Linked DNA regions of Xenopus tropicalis. The protein of the gene in region 2 purifies or fractionates together with the protein of the main gene of each other region. This does not show direct contact. Links are inferred from orthologs where the notes say so. Each region holds a gene or a part of one and is shown on either strand. Other genes may lie near its edges.

The links. Proteins that work in one complex are often made in the same cells at the same time.
Region 1: the proteins of snrpa1 (region 2) and phf5a purify together in Homo sapiens (affinity purification with mass spectrometry; 4 studies listed by BioGRID and IntAct, with this or other methods). This does not show direct contact. The link is inferred for Xenopus tropicalis from reciprocal best matches to the Homo sapiens genes SNRPA1 and PHF5A.
Region 3: the proteins of snrpa1 (region 2) and rbm17 purify together in Homo sapiens (affinity purification with mass spectrometry; 5 studies listed by BioGRID and IntAct, with this or other methods). This does not show direct contact. The link is inferred for Xenopus tropicalis from reciprocal best matches to the Homo sapiens genes SNRPA1 and RBM17.
Region 4: the proteins of snrpa1 (region 2) and srrm2 fractionate together in Homo sapiens (co-fractionation; 3 studies listed by BioGRID, with this or other methods). This does not show direct contact. The link is inferred for Xenopus tropicalis from reciprocal best matches to the Homo sapiens genes SNRPA1 and SRRM2.

The regions. Positions count from the first base shown.
Region 1 is NC_030680.2:120,354,662-120,359,214, forward strand, and holds the end of phf5a (PHD finger-like domain-containing protein 5A), read left to right. Parts: intron 1-147; coding exon 148-171; intron 172-1,568; coding exon 1,569-1,735; intron 1,736-3,278; coding exon 3,279-3,368; 3' UTR 3,369-3,460; downstream 3,461-4,553.
Region 2 is NC_030679.2:115,911,935-115,917,453, reverse strand, and holds the start of snrpa1 (U2 small nuclear ribonucleoprotein A'), read left to right. Parts: upstream 1-1,875; 5' UTR 1,876-1,964; coding exon 1,965-2,046; intron 2,047-3,418; coding exon 3,419-3,566; intron 3,567-5,133; coding exon 5,134-5,212; intron 5,213-5,519. UniProt on the Homo sapiens protein: Involved in pre-mRNA splicing as component of the spliceosome. Associated with sn-RNP U2, where it contributes to the binding of stem loop IV of U2 snRNA.
Region 3 is NC_030679.2:84,301,344-84,306,404, reverse strand, and holds part of rbm17 (splicing factor 45), read left to right. Parts: intron 1-332; coding exon 333-484; intron 485-824; coding exon 825-901; intron 902-1,047; coding exon 1,048-1,146; intron 1,147-2,935; coding exon 2,936-3,008; intron 3,009-5,061. UniProt on the Homo sapiens protein: Splice factor that binds to the single-stranded 3'AG at the exon/intron border and promotes its utilization in the second catalytic step. Involved in the regulation of alternative splicing and the utilization of cryptic splice sites.
Region 4 is NC_030685.2:12,509,349-12,514,409, reverse strand, and holds part of srrm2 (serine/arginine repetitive matrix protein 2), read right to left. Parts: coding exon 4,500-5,061; intron 3,814-4,499; coding exon 3,559-3,813; intron 3,456-3,558; coding exon 3,348-3,455; intron 1,522-3,347; coding exon 1,429-1,521; intron 431-1,428; coding exon 421-430; 3' UTR 1-420. UniProt on the Homo sapiens protein: Required for pre-mRNA splicing as component of the spliceosome. As a component of the minor spliceosome, involved in the splicing of U12-type introns in pre-mRNAs.

The DNA.
Region 1 (4,553 bases), on a different chromosome or scaffold from region 2:
TTTGTTTTACATGTCCTTTAAAGCATTTTAGATATTTAAGATATGTGTACAACATGATGACCACTGTTTAATATATATATATATATATATATATATATATATATATATATATATATAAACACTTACATTTATAATTTTCTATTGCAGCTATTGGAAGACTCTGTGAAAAATGTGAGTATATATAATTCTTAAACTTTTAAAATATAAATTGCATTTGTTCATATGCAAAAAATGTTTCACCTTTGTCTTCTTTGTGCAACTGATTATTTCTCAACAAGCAATGGTTTTTAAGTGTTGCTGCCAGTCCTATATCTGATATCTCTGATATATCTGATTATATATTCTATATTCAGCAGTTGTATTACATTAGACATTATTAAAAAAATGACATTGCTTAACATCTGCTGAGTGGGGAAAATCAAGAATTTACAGTCTGTTTAAAAGTGTGTGTAGTTGTGGGGTGCATGTAAGGTTAGACTTAAGGTCCTCATACACCATAAGATCCGCTCGCTTGGCGATGTCGCCAAGCGAGCGGATCTTCTCCCGATATCCCCCACCTATGGGTGGGCGATATCGGGAGAATCCAGGGTAATTCGATCCCTGGGGCCAAATGATCGAATTATAACAGCAGGTATAGGAAAAGTCGGTCCGGGGACTGCATCAATGAGCCGATGCGGTCCACGATCCAACTAGATTTTCTAACCTGCCCCATCGAGATCTGGCCAATTTGAGGCCAGATATCGGTCGGGCAGGCCTGTTGGGAGTGCGCTTACACGGGCCAATTAGCTGCTGAATCGGCCCAAGGGACTGATATCGGCAGCTACTATCGGCCCGTGTATGGGGACCTTTAGTCTTTCATTACCTATATATCACAGCATGGTATGGGGTGCAAATCATTGCCTTTTTAAATTATCAAACAGGATGGCTGCAAATCAAGAGTGCAACAGTTCTGGACTAAAAGTCCATTGAGTTGGAGCTGAATAGCCTTGTCTTTTTGAGTTTAATTGATTTGTAACATTTTTCAGTCTTACCATGTATAGTTATAGTATTACAAGTCTTAAAGGGTAAGGAATTAATTAGGGAGTCCCTAAGGAATATAATCCGTTACCTTGGATTTTGGGCTTGCTCTCCTCTTTACTGAAAGGTGCACTAGCATAGTGGTGTATTTCATTAGCACAGCACAGCCATCTTCCAAATGATCCCTTGGCATGTACTATAGGCTTGCATAGGAAATTGTGTGCAGTAGAGTAAAATCAGGGATTTATCTTTCCTGCATGTGTGCGTAATCAGCTGCAAGGGATTCCTGGGACTTTACACAAGATGGCAACAGAGAATGGAATGGAAACTTGGACCAGTCCATTTTTCAGCAAACGAGTGGATTTTTTTAATTTACCATCACCCAGTTAGTCACCTTAGAGAGAATAACACTCTCATTGCCCTAATAAACCGACACTGCTTGCCATGTCCTTTTATCTCTGTTACAGGAGCAAAAAAAAAAATGTGCATATCTGGAGAGTACCCAAGCCTGTTAAGAAATTAACAATTTAATTATTTTTTTTAATCTGCAGGTGATGGGAAGTGTGTGATTTGTGACTCGTATGTACGCCCGTGCACTCTTGTGCGTATTTGTGACGAATGTAACTACGGCTCTTACCAAGGGCGATGTGTGATCTGCGGAGGGCCTGGGGTTTCAGATGCTTATTACTGCAAAGAATGCACCATCCAGGAGAAAGATGTAAGTAAAGACAAAATAAAAAAAAATATATAGCAAAAAATAGCTGCATTCGCTTATTAGAGAGTGTGCCTGGGTGCACACCGCCGAAGAGTAAATATAGACTTTCATATAAAGCAGGGCACTCACAGGATTTAAAAGTATGGTGAAAAAGAAATAAAGTTTATTTGTTATTTCAACGTTTCGGTCTTCCTTGATAAAGGTCTCAAGGAAGACCGGAATGTTGGAATAACAAACTTTATTTCTATAATTTAGAGTTGAAGCTGCCATTTTTAGTTACTGTCAGAAATGGTTAATGTTTCCTGTGCTATTAAATTACATGTTTTGTGTGGTCTTTACTGATTAAATTAGTTTAAGTGAGGGATCTAGAACCCAGAATCCCATTATCCAAAAGATGTTAGTAAGGGAAGAGTTGCTTGCTTTATTTTTTTCTCTAATAATTAGACCGTATCTTGCACTTGGTGATAATGAAGCTGCATATAATCGGTAATGATGGCAGCACATGTTGGATATTCATAATTGTTGTATTTATTTTGGTAGCCTTAGGGCACAATGCTCCAGTTTACAGAAGCACCCTATATTCGGGAAAACCCCAGGACCGTGCATTCTGTATACACAAAATCTTTTCCCAAGGCAAGCTGTATCACTTCCCATTTTCTTATGTGACATGCAGGAATAATCTGGTTTCCTAATTTTCCATCTAAATGTACTGCATTTTTCCTAAACTATTAAAGGATATTTTTTTCCATGTTCTTCCACAGTTAGTTACATAGTCATCACCTAAAAATTCCCTTTTATGCCTTTTTTTTTTTTCATAAAAGCTTAAAAATCTTCTGTTACTTTTTTGTTACATTACAAGATTTTTACATTGCCTTAAATAGCACATGGGCAATTATGTGCAAATTCACAACACCAAAGGAGCCAAAACCATCCCACTTCTGTAATGACAGTAGCCTGGAATTGTGGTCTGCAAGAACATAAGTGCCAGCATCTTTTAAAAAGAAAATTTTTTTTTTCAGAAATACAGGAATTTTTTTTCTTTTTTGGAAATATACACAATATTAAGTATTGTTTTCAGGTAAAACACATCCATAGCCATTATAAAGGCATTTAAATATCACAGCTGCCAATCATGTATTGCCTGCCCTGCCTCTATGCCTAGGCATAGAGGCGGGGCAGGCAGTTACTTTTATTTTCCATTCAGAACTCGCTTTCCCCGTTTCTCCTCACCATCTAATTGTGTAGCCAGTACGTGGGTATGGCCCCCCCATTCTGGCTAATATACAAGATTTTGGGGTGATACAAAGCTAGCTTTAATAAGTGTCTACAAAATGGAACCTGCCTGTTTGCTGTGATTATGTAATTCCAAGACTGAAGGAAACAAGATGTATATTATTTATATATTGTAAGTGAAGTTTATTTTGCTTGACAAACACAATAGAAAATTATTTGGAATTATTTCTTAGGGTGACAGGCCCCCTTTAATTACTTGTGTTTATAGTTTTGTTATTAACGTTTTCATTACTTTTCTACATCTATTTTGCAGAGAGATGGTTGTCCCAAAATTGTAAATTTAGGCAGCTCCAAAACAGATCTCTTTTACGAAAGAAAGAAGTATGGATTCAAGAAGAGGTGATCCTGCCTTTGGATTTTCTGTGTGATCTTATCTTTTTGTGAAAAACTGATTTTGTAATGTTGAAGAAATCATTAAAATGTCTTTTACAACAATGCCCCTTCTCATTTAACATCTTCTTTTATCCTATAATGTAAAGAAACCATTAAATACATTTAGAACAGGTTGCAAGGTATTTAGGCTTACTCTTTATAATGTGCAACAAAAGTAGTGGTATACTGTTAACCTGTGGCGAATAACTGTGGCACCAAGGGAAAAGGATATCATACCTCCCAAGTGTCCCATGGAGTCACGATCTTTAACTGGCTGCCTGCAGTCCTGGATCACCTATTAAATGTCCAGCACTGGATTTTTTTTAATAAAAATATATATTTTTTTTTCTAGTAGTAACTGATCTCATACCTGTATTTGCCACTACCATTTTAAAGGGGTGGTTCACCTTCAAGTTAACTTTTAGTATGTTAGAATGGCCAATTTTAAGCAACTTTTCAATTGGTCTTCATTATTATTTATAGTTTTATCATTATTTGCCGCCTTCTTTTGACTCTTTCTAGCTTTCAGATTGGGGATCACTGACCTATGCTCTGCTAGCCTACAATGTTGTTGTTACTTTTTATACCTTATTTTTCAACTTAGGTCCTCTCCTGTCCATATAATAGTCTCCCATACAAACCACTGGTTGCTAAGGTAATTTGGTTACTAGCAACCAGATAGCTGCTGAAATGCAAAACTGCAGAGCTGCTGAACAAAAAGTGAAATAACTAAAAAAAACTATATATAATGAAGACAAATGTCCTTGTTTCAAAAAAAAAAAAAAAAAAAAAAAACTTGCTCTGAGGATCCAGTCAGTACTAGTTTAAAATTGCTGTGTGGTTGTTGGCACATCACGATAAACTATTATCTTTTCAAACAACCTCCACCCATGCCTTTTCTTATGTTGATATGGCATAATCCCATATCAGCCCTTTTTAATTTAACAACAGATACTTCAACTGAGAATTCCTTAGCTATGTTGCCATTGGTGATGTTAGTTCCACAATGTGGGCAACTTCTTACTCCACCTTATGGTTTTTTATTGTGAGTGATGGCTGTAGGTAGACTGACAAAATGAATTAGGTCTGCTATTTCCAGTGTTCTTGTCTTGCTGTGAGTTGTGGCAGGTTTCTGTTGGCAGATCCAATAGCTATG
Region 2 (5,519 bases):
TAAAGCTAGCAGCAAAAAGATGTTTCAATGTGTGAATTCTTTGGACCCATACACACACATACAAGGATAGGGTTAAAATGGCTGAATGTGTGACATGGGACTGAAGCAGACAATGAGCTCTGCATAAGGGCAAACAGGAGACCTGAAAATGAGCCTTTACCTAAAATTTTATTTTGCTTGGGTACCTTAAACCATCTTTAAAGAGATATGGAAAAGAAAAAGGTTTTAGAAGCAGAGAGAACCTTGTCACCATTTCAGTAAAATGCAGCATTGATACATAAGGTGACGGCAGTGCAAGATGGGGCAAATGACCCTTTTCCCACACAGCTCCAATCTGCCCCCACATTTCCTAAGAACATTCACTCCCACCTTCATCCTACCACCTTATACTATAAGTAGGTACCAATGGACGCCATTTATTGAATGAAATACATTAGACATTCCTTCATTTGTGCCATGGTATATTAAATAAATACCATATATAAAAAGTTGTGAAAACTAAATATGGAAAACATTCCATCGGTTTGGCATGGTTGCTACATTAGCATTTCCTGGTCGGGCACTAGCATGCTAGGCCAAACTCTGATCATCTGATCATTTGGCCCCAGAGTAATGATTTTATCATAAGAGGGTCTTGTGCAAATATGGGTGCAAACTGAAGCAAATCCAGGCTCTTTCTTCCATCTTATTTTTTAAATTTGGCAAAAGCCACACACAAGCAACATGATCCAATTCAGCCCCTTCATAAAGGCTAATACCAAACCCCATACATCTGTCTCCTCTGAGAAGTTTCTTTGCATTACCCATGTATAGGCTGCTAACTGCATTCACTTGGCTTAGCCTCCTACTGCGGCTCTTTTACCAACACTTAAGCATTGGTATATCAGTGCATTATTACTAACCAGTACAATTCCAGTCATTCCCATTCAGTCTCTGACCTGCTGCAGACCAAGGCTAATCACTGGTTGCTATTAGTAACTGTGCAGAGAAAACTTTGCTTGGGTTGGTAATTATGTCCTTACTGACTTAGCAGGTCCTGATTCACCCATTTCTTAATGAAACAACAGTAGCTAATAGTGTAGCTTCCACTGATTTAGATTTCCCTCAATCACCTTTTGGGCTCTGGCACACGGGGAGATTAGTCGCCCGCGACCGCGTTGGCTTGTTGATGCAGTCCCCGGACCTATATCCGCCGCAATAATTCAATCGTTTGGCCCCAGGGTAAGGCACCTTGTGTATGGGCACCTTAAGGGCTCTGGCACACGGGGAGATTAGTCGCCCGCGGCAAAACTCCCTGTTCGCGGGCGACTAATCTCCCCGAGTTGCCTTCCCCTGCCATCCCATCGGCGATAATGTAAGTCGCCGGTGGGATGGCAGACGCGGCGGGGCGATTTCGGCAAATCGCTGAAAAAGACTCGCAAGGCTTTTTCGGCGATTTGCACGAAATTGCGCCGCCGCGTCTGCCATCTTGCCGGCGACTAATCTCCCCGTGTGCCAGAGCCCTAAGGGTGAAGATACAGGGAGCTACTTAGTAGCAGCTACTTGTCACGGCTACTAATCACCAGAAAATCCCCTGCCATAGACAGTACTGAGAATTGCCTCTGCTAAAACACACGTAGAGACAATTATCAGTAAATGATCAGCTTTGTCTGTTTTAGTAGCCATGACAAGTAGCTTCTACTAGTAGCTCCGTGTGTATTCTTCCAAGGTTTTCTTATTCTTCGCTTCTTCTAGCTGTCGCCACAAGCTTTGCGCTCGATTATTCTTTACTCATGTACTTTCCCCTGTCTCTTGTACAGCGTCACAGGTACATGAGGCAGCGCTAGGCTCCGCCCCTTTTCAAAGCGGCTTGCTGATTGGCCAGTAGAGCGCCTAGCCATAGCGGAAGTGACTCTCTAGTGGACTTCCTGTCGTGTGGTGCCGCGCGTTGGCTTTGGCTCTGGCTTGCAGCTTTCCCGGGCATCATGGTGAAACTCACGGCTGATTTGATTGAGCAGGCTGCGCAGTACACTAACGCGGTGCGGGACCGAGAGCTGGACCTCAGGGGTGAGCGGCGGCCTCTCCCGGCCTCATTGGGAGACTCTCGGCTGCCAGTTGTTCTCATTTCCAGGGCCAGTCCGCCAATCTGCACTCACTCTCCATTGTATTCTGCGTTTGTTTGTTTGTTTGAGCTTATAGTTATTTCCCTAACATCCGGCCGTTAGTTTGGGATTTAGACTGGATCGCAGTGTAATGAATTAGGGAAAACAACTCAGTGTGTGTATGGTTAAATAGTCCGGGGTATTGGCTTCCCAAAAGTGCTGGGGGGGGGGGGTTATATTTTTTTTGGCAAGTGTGTGTGTGATTGGTGTGTTGGTTCTATATGAGATATATGTATACACACACACACTTACCATTGCGGTAGGATCTAGTATTCCTTATGTACAGTGGCAGCAGGCACAGAAGCATTAGAGCTTTATGCACTTATATTCTTTTAGTGGGGAGAATATCTTTGAGTTCCCTGCTGTATTGTATCAGTCATGTCAACCAAATATTATGAGTATGGAGCCCCTACAATACTTGGACGCCTGCTCCAGCTCCCCCCTATTACACTATATGGAACTTATTTGAATGTGGCTGAAGAATCCATAATATTTAGGCATAGTTGTAACACTGTGTGGGTAACAGCTGTGTGTGTCGTGGTTAATATTCAGTCCTTTTATAGGTTTTGTATGTAAAGAAATCCTTCTGGGGCTGGGGAGGGCAGTTGTTGCTTGGAGTTGTAGTTTTACTACAGCTGGGGTGAGCATGTCTTATAAAATTATTAGTATTAAGAAATAACATAAATGTTGTCGTTTGAGGAGATTCCTTGCAGAGTGGGCATATGCCTTGGCCATTTGTAAGGCTACCACTTTTACAATAGGTTTAAATTGGTGCATAGACAAAACAGAAGTGATTTGTTTGCTAACCTTGACCTGCAGCTTAAGGGTAGGTAACTGACCCCAGTAAAATAAAAACCCACTATTGCTTTGTGAGGCTGTGTAGCTGGGGCTATGTTCTGATAGGCTTTTGCCCTTTAGCCAAACACAACATTGCCTGACCCTAAGCCCAGTGACACTGACAAAGCTGCTCCTTGTTGGAGACTGACTCAGTAAGTGGTGGGCAGTTGGGAGGCAGGGAGGGCATCTGCACTAGAAAACCTTTTGATATAAGTAGCAGGGGAATGAGGCACATTCATGTTCAAACCTGGATTGTGTTACTACCCCAGTTGCTTGTTTTGGGAGCAAATGGAAACTACAGATATTGGCAAAGTCATAGAGGATGTTTGCAGAGACACTGTGTATACTTCTTTGCTCTCAGCCACACACACATATATCCAGTGGCAGTATTATCAACTCTCAGTTCATATGTAAATGTTATCTCTGATTCTCTCACACAGGCTACAAAATCCCAGTGATTGAGAATCTTGGGGCAACACTAGACCAGTTTGATACAATTGATTGTTCAGATAATGAGATTAGAAAACTGGATGGATTTCCTTTATTGAAAAGACTTAAGACCCTCCTACTAAACAATAACAGAATATGGTAAGTTTGGTGCTTTATTATAGCTATATATGCTACTGGTTCTTACACTGTCATTGCTATCTGTGTATATGATACTTTTTTGACATGTATTCAGAATCTGAATCTGAATGCACTTCATTTCAAAATAAAGGCTTTTTTTTTTTATAACAGACAGTAAAGGAAAGGGTGTATTGAACTTTTGGCTCTCAATAAAAGCACCTTAGCAGCCAAAAGTATGCTATAACCCTAAAGCAGCAAACTGTTTGCCACTGTGTTCACTCACATTAGCGTTTGGGTTGGTTGCTGCACACACTGCATTAATCACTGGTGTAGGAAGAAAATAAATACCTCGGTAACACATAAGCATATCCTTATTCCTTCTGGGTGAACTGACTTTAAGATTTGTTACATAACACCAAGAAAAGGCAAACCAAGTATGATCATTTTGTTTGAATGAATTTTCCTCAAAAGATCCATCATGTCTCCATGTAGTCTATAGACTTGCTATGCCCACTAATCAGTCTCGAAGGGTTCATCAGCCTATCGGACCTTAAATCCACAGCTCCTTCTTGCTCCTAAGAGCAAATGATGACTGGGTGAATGTAACAGATTACTCAAGAGTAGCTTTTGAAATGGCTGGTTCCAATCACCAACAAAATGTATATGTTACAAAGCCCCATGAATCATCAGCATATCTTATTTTTAGCTAGTACGCATCTGGGGAGACCATAATAAGGAGCAATAACATCAGCATTAAAAGCAAAATTCCATTCCTACTTGAATGCAGCCAAACCACATGTATAAACAGAGAGTGCAAGTCCTTCTCATTATGGAGTGGATCTCTTAGGACCGGCAGCCAGCATTATTTTATAAAGGGTTGAATTGAATGATTATAGGCCTTTGTAAAAGTTAAATAAGTAACCCTGTGAGCTGCAGACTTGATTTATTCACTGGATTTTTAAAAAAATAAAACTGACTGGTGCCTTTTATGGTTAAAAAACATATTTATTCTCATTAATGACAAGTAGAGGTAATAAGAGTCCTGCATAAAACCCTCAAAGCACCCCAGCATGGCCTGTACTCTGTTTAGCACTGCACTTTCTCAAAGTGTTAGATGCATTTTAACATTAGTATCAGTGACATTGGTAGGGAAGCACTTCTCTGGGAGCAGAGACCCATTTATGTACCATGGGCTGAATTGTGCAGTTCCTAGTTGTTTTTATGTAAAAGATTATGTTGTAATGCTAAAGCAAACATGCTGATTGTTATATAACTGGGCTGGAAACTCTCAGGCAGAGATCTCTTTGCTGTTTGGCCTCATTTTATTTAACATGTTTGTATGTTCCCATTCTGGCTCTTAGGGCTGCCATTAAGGGACATATTTGGGTCTCGTGCTAGCACAGTCTGTGTAAGGGGGCTCTGCTATTCTACCTGCATATACTGTGTGGGATCCATTAGCACAACGTATTGGGATATAATAAATATGGCCCATACCCTTTTTGTAAATGCTGGTGAAAGATATTTTCTGCAAAAATAAATGTAAGCTTTTTTTTGTAATGCTTGGTGTTAATTACATTTTTCCCCACAGCCGTATTGGGGAAGGTATAGAACATGCTTTACCTAATTTAACGGAATTGATTCTCACAAACAACAGTATTACAGAGCTGGTAAGTACTACATTTTGCATCTTTATTTGGAGCACTTTACAATGCACCTTGTTCTTTCATATTTGAAAGAGCCCCTAAATGTATAATGACCCATTTTATATTGCACAATGCTCTTTTCCTGCCTGTTGGTGATTTACATTCATACAAGTGGAAAACACACGCATTTCTGAGCAGGCAAATATCCCTTTTTTCCCAAGCGATCCCCCCCCCCCCCCCCCCCATGCCATAGGCAGCATTTTCCTTTTATTTGAAGGCATTGCCGCTAAAGTTCCCAGAAACATCATTACCACATATCCTTTTAAACCAA
Region 3 (5,061 bases), about 32 Mb from region 2:
TCTAGGGTAATTACTGACAGGCAGATAGTGGTGTCTTTGCACTGGTTTCCACCTGAAACTTCACTGTGACGATCGAAAACTCATTCTGTGTGATTAGCCTAGATATTTTCTTTATGAAAATCCTTAGGGATAATTAAAAATTAAGGTGCAGTGGCATATTAGGTAACTTTTCTGAAAGTATGTATAAAACTGAAATGGGCAAAATTCCATGTATATATGGTGACTGTGCTACTCCCTTGCTCATCACTTTATATGGGTTCATATTTACTTACAGCTACTGTAGGGGGCAAAAATAAGCTGAGGTTTTGTGTACTTTGTTTCTGTTTTTAAAGTGGTACTGTGGCCCACAAAATCATGCAGAAGTATGGCTTTCGGGAAGGACAGGGCCTTGGCAAGCACGAGCAGGGTCTCAGCACTGCACTTTCTGTTGAAAAGACAAGCAAGAGGGGAGGCAAAATTATTATTGGTGACTTAGCTGACAAAGGTTTGTTGTTTTGAGTAACAATTTTCAGATACTAATATATAAAGTGTGTGTATGGATATGTGGATATAACTTATGTAGTGCATATAAATAAATATTTTTGTTTTTTTCCCAAGTTTTTTTTTTTTTTTAACATGGGTGTGTGTGTGTATGTATGTATGTATGTATATGTGTATGTATATATATATATATATATATATATATATATATATATATATATATATATATATATATATACACAAAGTCAAGAGTTTCACAATAACGCCTAATAGTGCAGATTCCTTGCTTCATTGGTGATTTTTTTCATTTAAAGTGTTTTAAATAGAAATTTAATCTCTTACAGTTGAAGCAGCTAAGAAAGCAGATCCAAACCCTCTGACAGAAATACTAAAGAATCCTACTAAAGTTGTTTTGCTTCAGGTAAGAAGGGCAGCAGCCCAAGGTTTATCGGCCAAAAATATGTTCATAGGGAGACTTTTTTATAATTGTAATTTGCGCTTTTTCTGCTATTGGAAAACACTCAATTTTTGTTGTCAAAAGCTCATTCTGCTGATTTCTACTTCTAGAACATGGTAGGTGCTGGGGAAGTTGATGAAGATCTGGAAGCTGAAACAAAGGAAGAGTGTGAAAAATACGGCAAAGTTGGAAAATGTGTCATTTTTGAGGTAATAACCAGCATGTATGGTATAGGTGTCGTGCTTTTGCTTTACTTAGTACTAATGATATGAGTGCTGCCTTAGTATGTTATGCAGTAGCAGTGGTGTATCCTTAGTATTGTAACTGTGTTTATGAAATGCAGCAACAGTATTCAAGGGCACCCATCCTAAAGGCCAGATAAAATAAGATTCGTTTTTAGTTAGATGCTTGTAGGGGTACACTGACATTGAGCACATGGCTTCGATCAGAAGAACTGGGAATGGAAGTGAGCAGGTATAAATTAAGCTAAAAAGTGCACAAAATGGCATATATATTTTTTTTTTGTTAATATTATTTATTTTATTTTTTTTTAAAACTTAGCTTTTTGTTTAGCAGCTGTCCAGTTTTAATCGTATTTTGCTACTAGGGACTCTTTAACAGTAGCACCAGGCAGTGGTTTCAGCAACAGACTGGAAGTTGAATAGGCGAGGGCCTAAACAGAAATTGTAACAAATAAAATTGTAACAGTAAATTTGGTCATTACAAAGCAGTAGTTTGTTGTTGTCCCATATCAGTGTTGTTTTCTGAAAAATATGTGCACATTTTGATTTTGAAAATTTAAAACAGGGTAGTGTTTCCCACTGTGTTTGACCACCTCTTCTTTTAACAACACTCTTGTAACCATTTACTGGCTTTTGAAATGTGCATTGATAAGCCCAGATAGTCCTTCTCTTCAGCCCGGAGGAGGCAGCATATATAATTTACCGAAAAGAATTTCACCACAGGAAAGTTTTCCACTTTGCCTCAGTCCATCTGAATGAGCTTGGACCCAGAGAAGGTGGTAGTGTTTCTGAATCATTTTTATATATGTTTTTTTTCTTTGCATTGTAAATGATGCAGTGATTAACCATGTTCAGACAGTGGTTTTTGGAAATATTCCGGAGCCCCTGCAGTGATTTCCACTACAGAATCATGTCTGTTTTAAATGCAGTGCCAACTGAGGGCCCAAAGATTATGGCCATACAATATTGGTTTTTGGCCTTGTTCCTTGTGTACTGTGATTTCTTAATCCTCTAAATTTTTTAACGATATTATGTTCTGTAGATGATGAAATCCCCAATCCTTTGTCATTTTTGTTTAGGAATGTTATTAAATTGTTGCAATATTTGACGGTGCAGGGTTTGACAGAGAGTGGTACCCCTCCCCATATTTACTTTTGAAAGATTCAGCCTCTCTGGGATCCGTCCTTTTTAGCATTACGTTTTTGCCAATATCAAAGGGTGTTAAAATATATGGACGATGATGCACTCCCTATAGTAATTTGCAAAGTCATGAGTTTTGACACCACATGTCTTTCTGTGTGTCACCTCATTTCTGAATATTTTTTTTATATAGGTCACATTATCCCTCAAATTATGCTCAGTTTATTGTGTATATACAAATATCATAGTATCCTTCAATAGACTGTAACTGAAGATTGCTGAAACCTTTGTTTTTCAAAAAGAAAAAAACAACAACAAAAATGAGTTAGTATACTTGATTCTTATATACTTATTCTGACTTGGCAGAAGCTATGAGTCTATATAGGAAAACTAGGGTACACTTTGACAAAAATTAACCAAATAATATGGTCATAAGCCTTTCAATAGGTTTTTGCTATTGAAGTATGTTGAGATATGTAATTCTTTAACACTGCATAAGTGACACAAATGGAAGGGCAAGCATACTTATATATAGGCTTGTCTTAAAAGATGTTGGCTGTGCTCAAGTCAAAATTATAATAATTCTAATAATTGCTGTGTGTGTTTTTGTTTCCAGATTCCTGGTACACCAGATGATGAGGCTGTAAGAATATTTTTGGAATTTGAAAGGGTTGAATCTGCAATTAAAGGTAAATTGCTTGTTTTACCGAAACTGAGATTTTTGTGTGCATAACAAAGTGATCAATGATAAATTAAACCTATTTCAGAACTTGTTTGTCCGAGATAATAATGAAGTATTGTAATACACACAGAAATCCAGGTATAGTAGGCTGCATCACTTCCCAAGTTATGTAATATACTATAGCAAATATTAAGCAAATGGAAGGTCATAAAAGCTGCACTCTTAGGGGCACATTTACTAACCCACGAACGGGCCGAATGCGTCCGATTGCGATTTTTTCGTAATGATCGGTATTTTGCGATTTTTTCGTAATGATCGGTATTTTGCGATTTTTTCGGAAATGATCGCGACTTTTTCGTTACCAATACGATTTTTTGCGAAAAAACGCGAGTTTTTCGTAGCCATTCCGAAAGTTGCGCAAAATCTGGCGATTTTTTTCGTAGCGTTAAAACTTGCGCGAAAAGTCGCGATTTTTTCATAGAGTTAAAACTTGCGCGAAACGTTGCGCCTTTTAAGTTTTTAACGCTACGAAAAAATCGCCAGATTTTGCGCAACTTTCGGAATGGCTACGAAAAACTCGCATTTTTTCGCGCAAATAATGGCTACGAAAAACTCGCGTTTTTTCGCGCAAATCGTATTGGTAACGAAAAAGTCGCGATAATTTCCGAAAAGTCGTAAAGGCGCTGAAAAAATCGCAAAAAATACGAAAAAGTCGCAAAATGTTCGTTTTCCAATCGGAATTTTTCCAATTCGAATTCGTGTCTTAGTAAATCAGCCCCTTAGACTTAAAGTCATGCCATTGTTGTCACCAATAAAAATAATACCTAACATAGGGTTTCTCACATGGGAGCAACATGGAATATTGTTTTTCTGACTTGTTTGTCAGGTTTGCTTCAAACAATAAGAAAATGATAACTGCTATGGGTTTGGTAGAATTTTAGCTGTTAGCTGCTTCTGGCTCTATAGTCCAGTATAGCCCAGCAAGACCTTTAATGAACCTGTAACTTTTTAAATCTATATTCTGAATAATGCTACCTAGTAAACTTTGCATTCTAAGCAATAAGCAGTTTTTATGCTTCCAGGAACTTCTTGTATGAAAAATCAGTCTTTATGTGCAGTCAGTGAATAATACTGATTGTCTTCTTTTGAAGTTAAATGTGATTTCTGAAGTGATGCTTCCACTTCCACTCTTGCAATATCATATCAAATGAGAGCTGTCTGGTGTGATCTTCTGTGCAGGTTTTCATTCCAACTTCACTTAACATAGAAAACAAATAGTAATCAAAGTTATTGCACTTACACTACATTTTAGAACGCTTTTCAGTCTATGGTATATTCAGAAAGTGGGTGGGTATTAGTATAAAGAATAAAAAAGTGCTAAAAATAAAAGCATTATGACATGAAGCTGAACATAGATAAGATCAGTCCCATTTGCCACATGGGCAGATTTTGTCTGACAGAACCACTTTAAGGGTTGGTTCACTTTTAAGCTAACTTTTAGTTTGTTATAGAATACCCTTTTCCTAGCAACTTTGCAATTAGTTTTCATTTTTTTTTTTTATGGTTTTTGAATTGTTTGCCTTTCTCTTCTGCCTCTTTCCAGCTTTCAAATGGGGGCCACTGACCCAAGCAGCTAAACACTATTGCTCTGTAAGGCTACAATTTTATTAATATTGTTAATCTTTATTACTTACCTTTCTGTGCATTCCTTCTACTATTCATATTCGCATCTCTTGTTTAAACCACTGCCTGGTTACTAGGGTAAGAAAGACCCTAGCAACCTGCTTAATAACCAAATGGAGAGCTGCTGATCAAAAATCTAAATAACTGAAAAACCATAAATGAAGACCAATTTCTAATTGTCTCAGAATATCAATGTCTGCAACATATTAAAAGTTAAATTAAAAGTCAGCTAGCGGTTGTAAACCCTATCATAATGCTGCGTCACTGCGCCCCCTAGTTTTGCTATAGAAAAACATAATTATAGATGCAAGAAAATTAGCCAATGAGCATTCTACTGACTAAAAAGTGCAAGAGAAGTGACCGATGAGAATGTTAAT
Region 4 (5,061 bases), on a different chromosome or scaffold from region 2:
CTGGGCAGTGTCAGACTGACGTAACCTAGATGGAGGGAGGGGGGGGGGTATACGCAGTCTCTAGATGGCACCTCCCAGAAGAGGGCTGGGCGGAGTCACCTGTGAGGGAGGATACCACCACCCTAATGAAGTTCACATTTCATCTTCTGTGTTTAAGATCCTCAGGGCGGTATGGGCAGGGGGAGCCATTCCCAGTGTAGTGCAGGCAGACACACTGTGTTCAGGGGAGTCACAGGCCCCCTGTTATCAGTCTCAATTTCAGCTGCCTCAGGCTCCCCCCCCCCCCACCAAAAAAAAGCAATATGTAAGTAAATAGTCTGCACCCTTGCAGGCAAAAAAGGGTCACCGAACGAACCAAGTCCCATAGTCATTACAGATAGATGGAGGAAACAGTTATGAAAATTCCTCGATGGCGACGGATCACGGAGACCTGATAGAGAGAGGCGGGAATGAATGTGTTACATACGGTCACTTTAAAGGAGAAAGATAAAAACTCAGTAAGCTTTATCAGAAAGGTCTATGTAAAGACAGCCTTAAGCACTCACAGAAACACTGCAATGAGTTCTCTGTCAAACGATAAGTTGTGTCTAATTCCTGTGCCAGAGACACGCAGCTTTCTGCTCTTTCCTGCTCCCCCCTCCCTCAAGAATGCTAGGAACTCACCCCCCCCCCCCACCAGGAATGTGGATCTGAGCCAATCAGCAGGGAGCTGACTCATAGTTTAACTGAGCATGTACACTTAGTCTGGGTGTCTGTGCAGGAGCAAAGCATTATGGGAGCATTCTTTACACAGATCAGCGTTTTTTCTTCCTATTTGGCTTCTGATCATCTGAACAGGTGAAATATAGGGAGACTTAAGGGCGCTATTGAGAGAACTGAAGGTATGCCTGCAGCTTGAGATTAACTCTTTATTAGCCTTTCCTTCTCCTTTAATCCGTTACAGCATATTTACTGAGCCTACACGTACTAAACATGTATAAACCCTCGGCCTATGTGCGCGTTCATGAAATAAGCAATCCCCACCCCGCCCCCCTATGCTTTTGTAAAAGGAAGCCAAGTCTACTCCCACAAATGAGAAATCTAATTCTATATGTTCTGTTCATTAAATAAAGCATAAAGCCTCTAGTTTGGGACTGGCACCCCCTTAGGGCGGTGGGTGATATTACAGCGGTTGTCTTTAGTTGAGTCTTTAGGCCGATCAGAGAAATTTTAGACCACCACCGTATAATCCTGGAAGCTGGATTTTGGGCCGAACTGAGGAGCATTTGCAAATTACATTTTTTTTATATGTTTGATATTGTAAAATGTCACATGAGCACCCTGCTGTTCGTCAGTGTGGGTGACGGCCAAACAGAAAAGCAAAAGCTTTGCCCTACACCAGTAAGCGCCTCTCCCCCCCCTTGAAAAATAGACAGAGCCGGTAAATACCTCGAAGTTCTTTTGTGAGAGTATCTGGAGTTGGGCGAGTCCTTTCGCCTCTTCCGTTCAGGCGACTCCTGATTCCTCCCAGAATCCCTTTCTCTACAGTAAATAAAGGATGGGTTAATACACAAATAAAGGACAGCGTAAGAGGCAGGCTTCTACCAATAAAAAAAACGAGTGAGTGGCTTGGCAATGTGTAGGGGAAAAAAAAACATGGAGGAAATGGGTGATACGAAGGGTGTGTAATAGAAAAGCAGGGAATAAGAATATCACAGGCAGGTTAAGACCATATTACACACACACAATCTATCTTTGTTCAAATCTGATTCTTAACCTTGGGTCCCCAGGTAGTGCTAGACTACAAATCCCAGCGTCCCTTACTATTAAGGGCTAAAACATGCTGGGAGTTGCAGCCCACTAACACCTGAAGACCCAACGTTAATAAATTGGTAAAAAACTGCATTTTAGTTCCTTTCTACACAGCATATATAGTTTGGGTAGAAGAGATGCCCTAATAACTGTAGCACCCCAAATTTATGTGAAGAGAAGTAGGGGGATCCAGGATTCAGTTTGGTATACAGGTATAGGACCCATTATCCAGAATGCTCGGGGTATTCTGGATAAGGGTTCTTTCTGTAATTTGGATCTCCATACCTTAAGTCTACTAAAAAATTAATAAAACATTAATTAAACCCAATAAGATTGTTTTGCAACCAATAAGGGGTAATTATATCTTAGTTGGGATCAAGTACAGGTACTGTTTTATTATTACAGAGAAAAGGGAATCATTTAACCATGAAATAAACCCAATAGGGCTGTTCTGCCCCAATAAGGGGTAATTATATCTTAGTTGGGATCAAGTACAGGTACTGTTTTATTATTACAGAGAAAAGGGAATCATTTAACCATTAAATAAACCCAATAGGGCTGTTCTGCCCCAATAAGGGGTAATTATATCTTAGTTGGGATCAAGTACAGGTACTGTTTTATTATTACAGAGAAAAGGGAATCATTTAAACCATTAAATAAACCCAATAGGGCTGTTCTGCCCCCAATAAGGGGTAATTATATCTTAGTTGGGATCAAGTACAGGTACTGTTTTATTATTACAGAGAAAAGGGAATCATTTAACCATGAAATAAACCCAATAGGGCTGTTCTGCCCCAATAAGGGGTAATTATATCTTAGTTGGGATCAAGTACAGGTACTGTTTTATTATTACAGAGAAAAGGGAATCATTTAACCATTAAATAAACCCAATAGGGCTGTTCTGCCCCCAATTAGGGGTAATTATATCTTAGTTGGGATCAAGTACAGGTACTGTTTTATTATTACAGAGAAAAGGGAATCATTTAACCATGAAATAAACCCAATAGGGCTGTTCTGCCACCAATAAGGGGTAATTATATCTTAGTTGGGATCAAGTACAAGGTACTGTTTTATTATTACAGAGAAAAGGGAATCATTTAACCATGAAATAAACCCAATAGGGCTGTTCTGCCCCCAATAAGGGGTAATTATATCTTAGTTGGGATCAAGTACAAGGTACTGTTTTATTATTACAGAGAAAAAGGAAATCACTTTTAAAATTCTGAATTATTTGGTTAAAATGGAGCCTATGGGAGACGGGCTTTCCGTAATTTGGAGCTTTCCGGATAACAGGTTTCCTTTTTCAGCAGGAAATCCGAAAAAGCAAAATTTTTACACAAGCACATCAATTTAACCCTTCTGTAGCCTAACTTCCATATGCAAATTAGGATTTGGGTCTGAATCTTTAACTAAGGATTTGGGGTTCGGCAGAAGCCAAAAATAACGGATTTGATGCATCCCTAAAGAGAATTCCCTTTTAAGTCTTTATAATTGATTATTCCCATTAACCTCTGCCATTGGAGTGGGAACATTCCTAGAGGAAGGCCTTGACTTACCTCCTTCGCGGGGGTGGGGGAGATGGTTGACGCCTACGTTCTTCTGGGGAGTAACTTAGAGACCGGGAGTCACGCAGAGAGTCGATAGGTTTCCGTGGGCTGCGTGACCTGTGGGATGCAAGATAAACATTATTTCCATCAGTATAAATCACATCTCTTAATTACAAGTGATAATTGCTCAGGCAGCTAAACAGGAAGAGACGGAACCCACCTTCTAGTAACGGGAGACGCTGCTTTTTTGCTGCTGGCTTTGTTGGAGGATGAGGAGGAGGAAGATGAGGAGGAGCTCGAGGAAGAGGATGACGAGTTGGAGGAATCGGAATTGGACGAAGAACTGGAGGATGACGAGGAGGAAGATGATGATGAAGAAGCGGATGAGCTGCGGCTCCGTGAGCTCCGTTTCCTTTCTAAAGGAACAGGGGGCTCTGCTGCTTTGGGGGGTTCAGCCGTCATGGGGCTGGGAACCCTGCAAGGAATAGTAAATAAGAGACTTAATTAGGATACATACATATGTAGGATATGCGTGTGTAAATGTATGGGCGCATACAGGTCAAGAGGCTTACTGTAGACTGCAACAAAGACTAAGGGTTATATACAATTTTAAATAAAAGTTGAAAAACTCAAGGGCACCTAACTTGGTGGACCAAGATGTCTGGCACATAATGGACAAGGTTCAGAAGAGAACGCCCTGACTCAGATATTGCAAAAAATCAACCCACAGAGCCAAACAGTTAGCGATGAGAGTTGGGTGGGGGAGGTGGTCTGTAGGTTCAAGTTCCAGGCTTTGCAGCAGGCAAGGTTTAACTGTATTTCACCCCTGGACATCTAAAGTACCAACACCCCCAACTGCACACAGCTACCAGTACCTTCATTTTTAGCAGTTAGTGTCAAAATGTGCAAGCATGAGAGCCAATTTTTGTGAAGACAGGTTATCAACTGCCAGAGTAGATAAATACAAGAGCAAGAAGCACCCAATAGCCAGGAACCAACACATTTAACTTATGAATTGGTTGCTGGACTTTGGGTGTCAGGAAAGAGGCCAACAAAGGCTTCTCCAGACCAAAATAAATTAGCTTTCTCTTTTACATCTTATGAGGAGAGGTCTGATCAGTAATATGGGCACTAGAAATATTATTAGTAAGATACACCCACCTGTCCACAGCAGGTACATTCCCGGAATCCACAGAAGGCTTCTTGGGACTAGAGTCTGAGCTTGAGGACGAAGAGGAAGAGCTGTCCGACGAACTACTCTGCCTTCTTGACTTTGTGGTCAAAGATGGTGAAGCCACGGTTTCTCCAACAGAGGTCAGTGGCGGTGATGCGATCCTCTCCTTCCTATTTTCTACATTTGCCATCATGGTACAGGCTGGGCTTTCAGTCAGCGTTAGAGCCTCATCTTTTGGGGACTCTTTACTCTCTCTTTTCTGGTCTTGGAATATTACATCGGACTGGTCTTCCCCACTTTTAGATGCTGCAGTTGTTTCGGAGCCAGCTGGTGCTCTAAGTAGTCTTGGTGGTGACCTGCTACATTCATCCAGGACATGCTCCGTCTGTGCAGGGGAACCCTTGCTGCTAGGCAAGAGTATGCCTGAGTCTCTCTTGTTGGGAGCAATATCTTTTTTTGTGTACCCAGACTGTTTAGTGTCTGGACTTCCTTCCACTTTATCTGTGTGTTTTTCCAGAAGTGGGGGAGATGGGGACTTCAGCTTTGTTG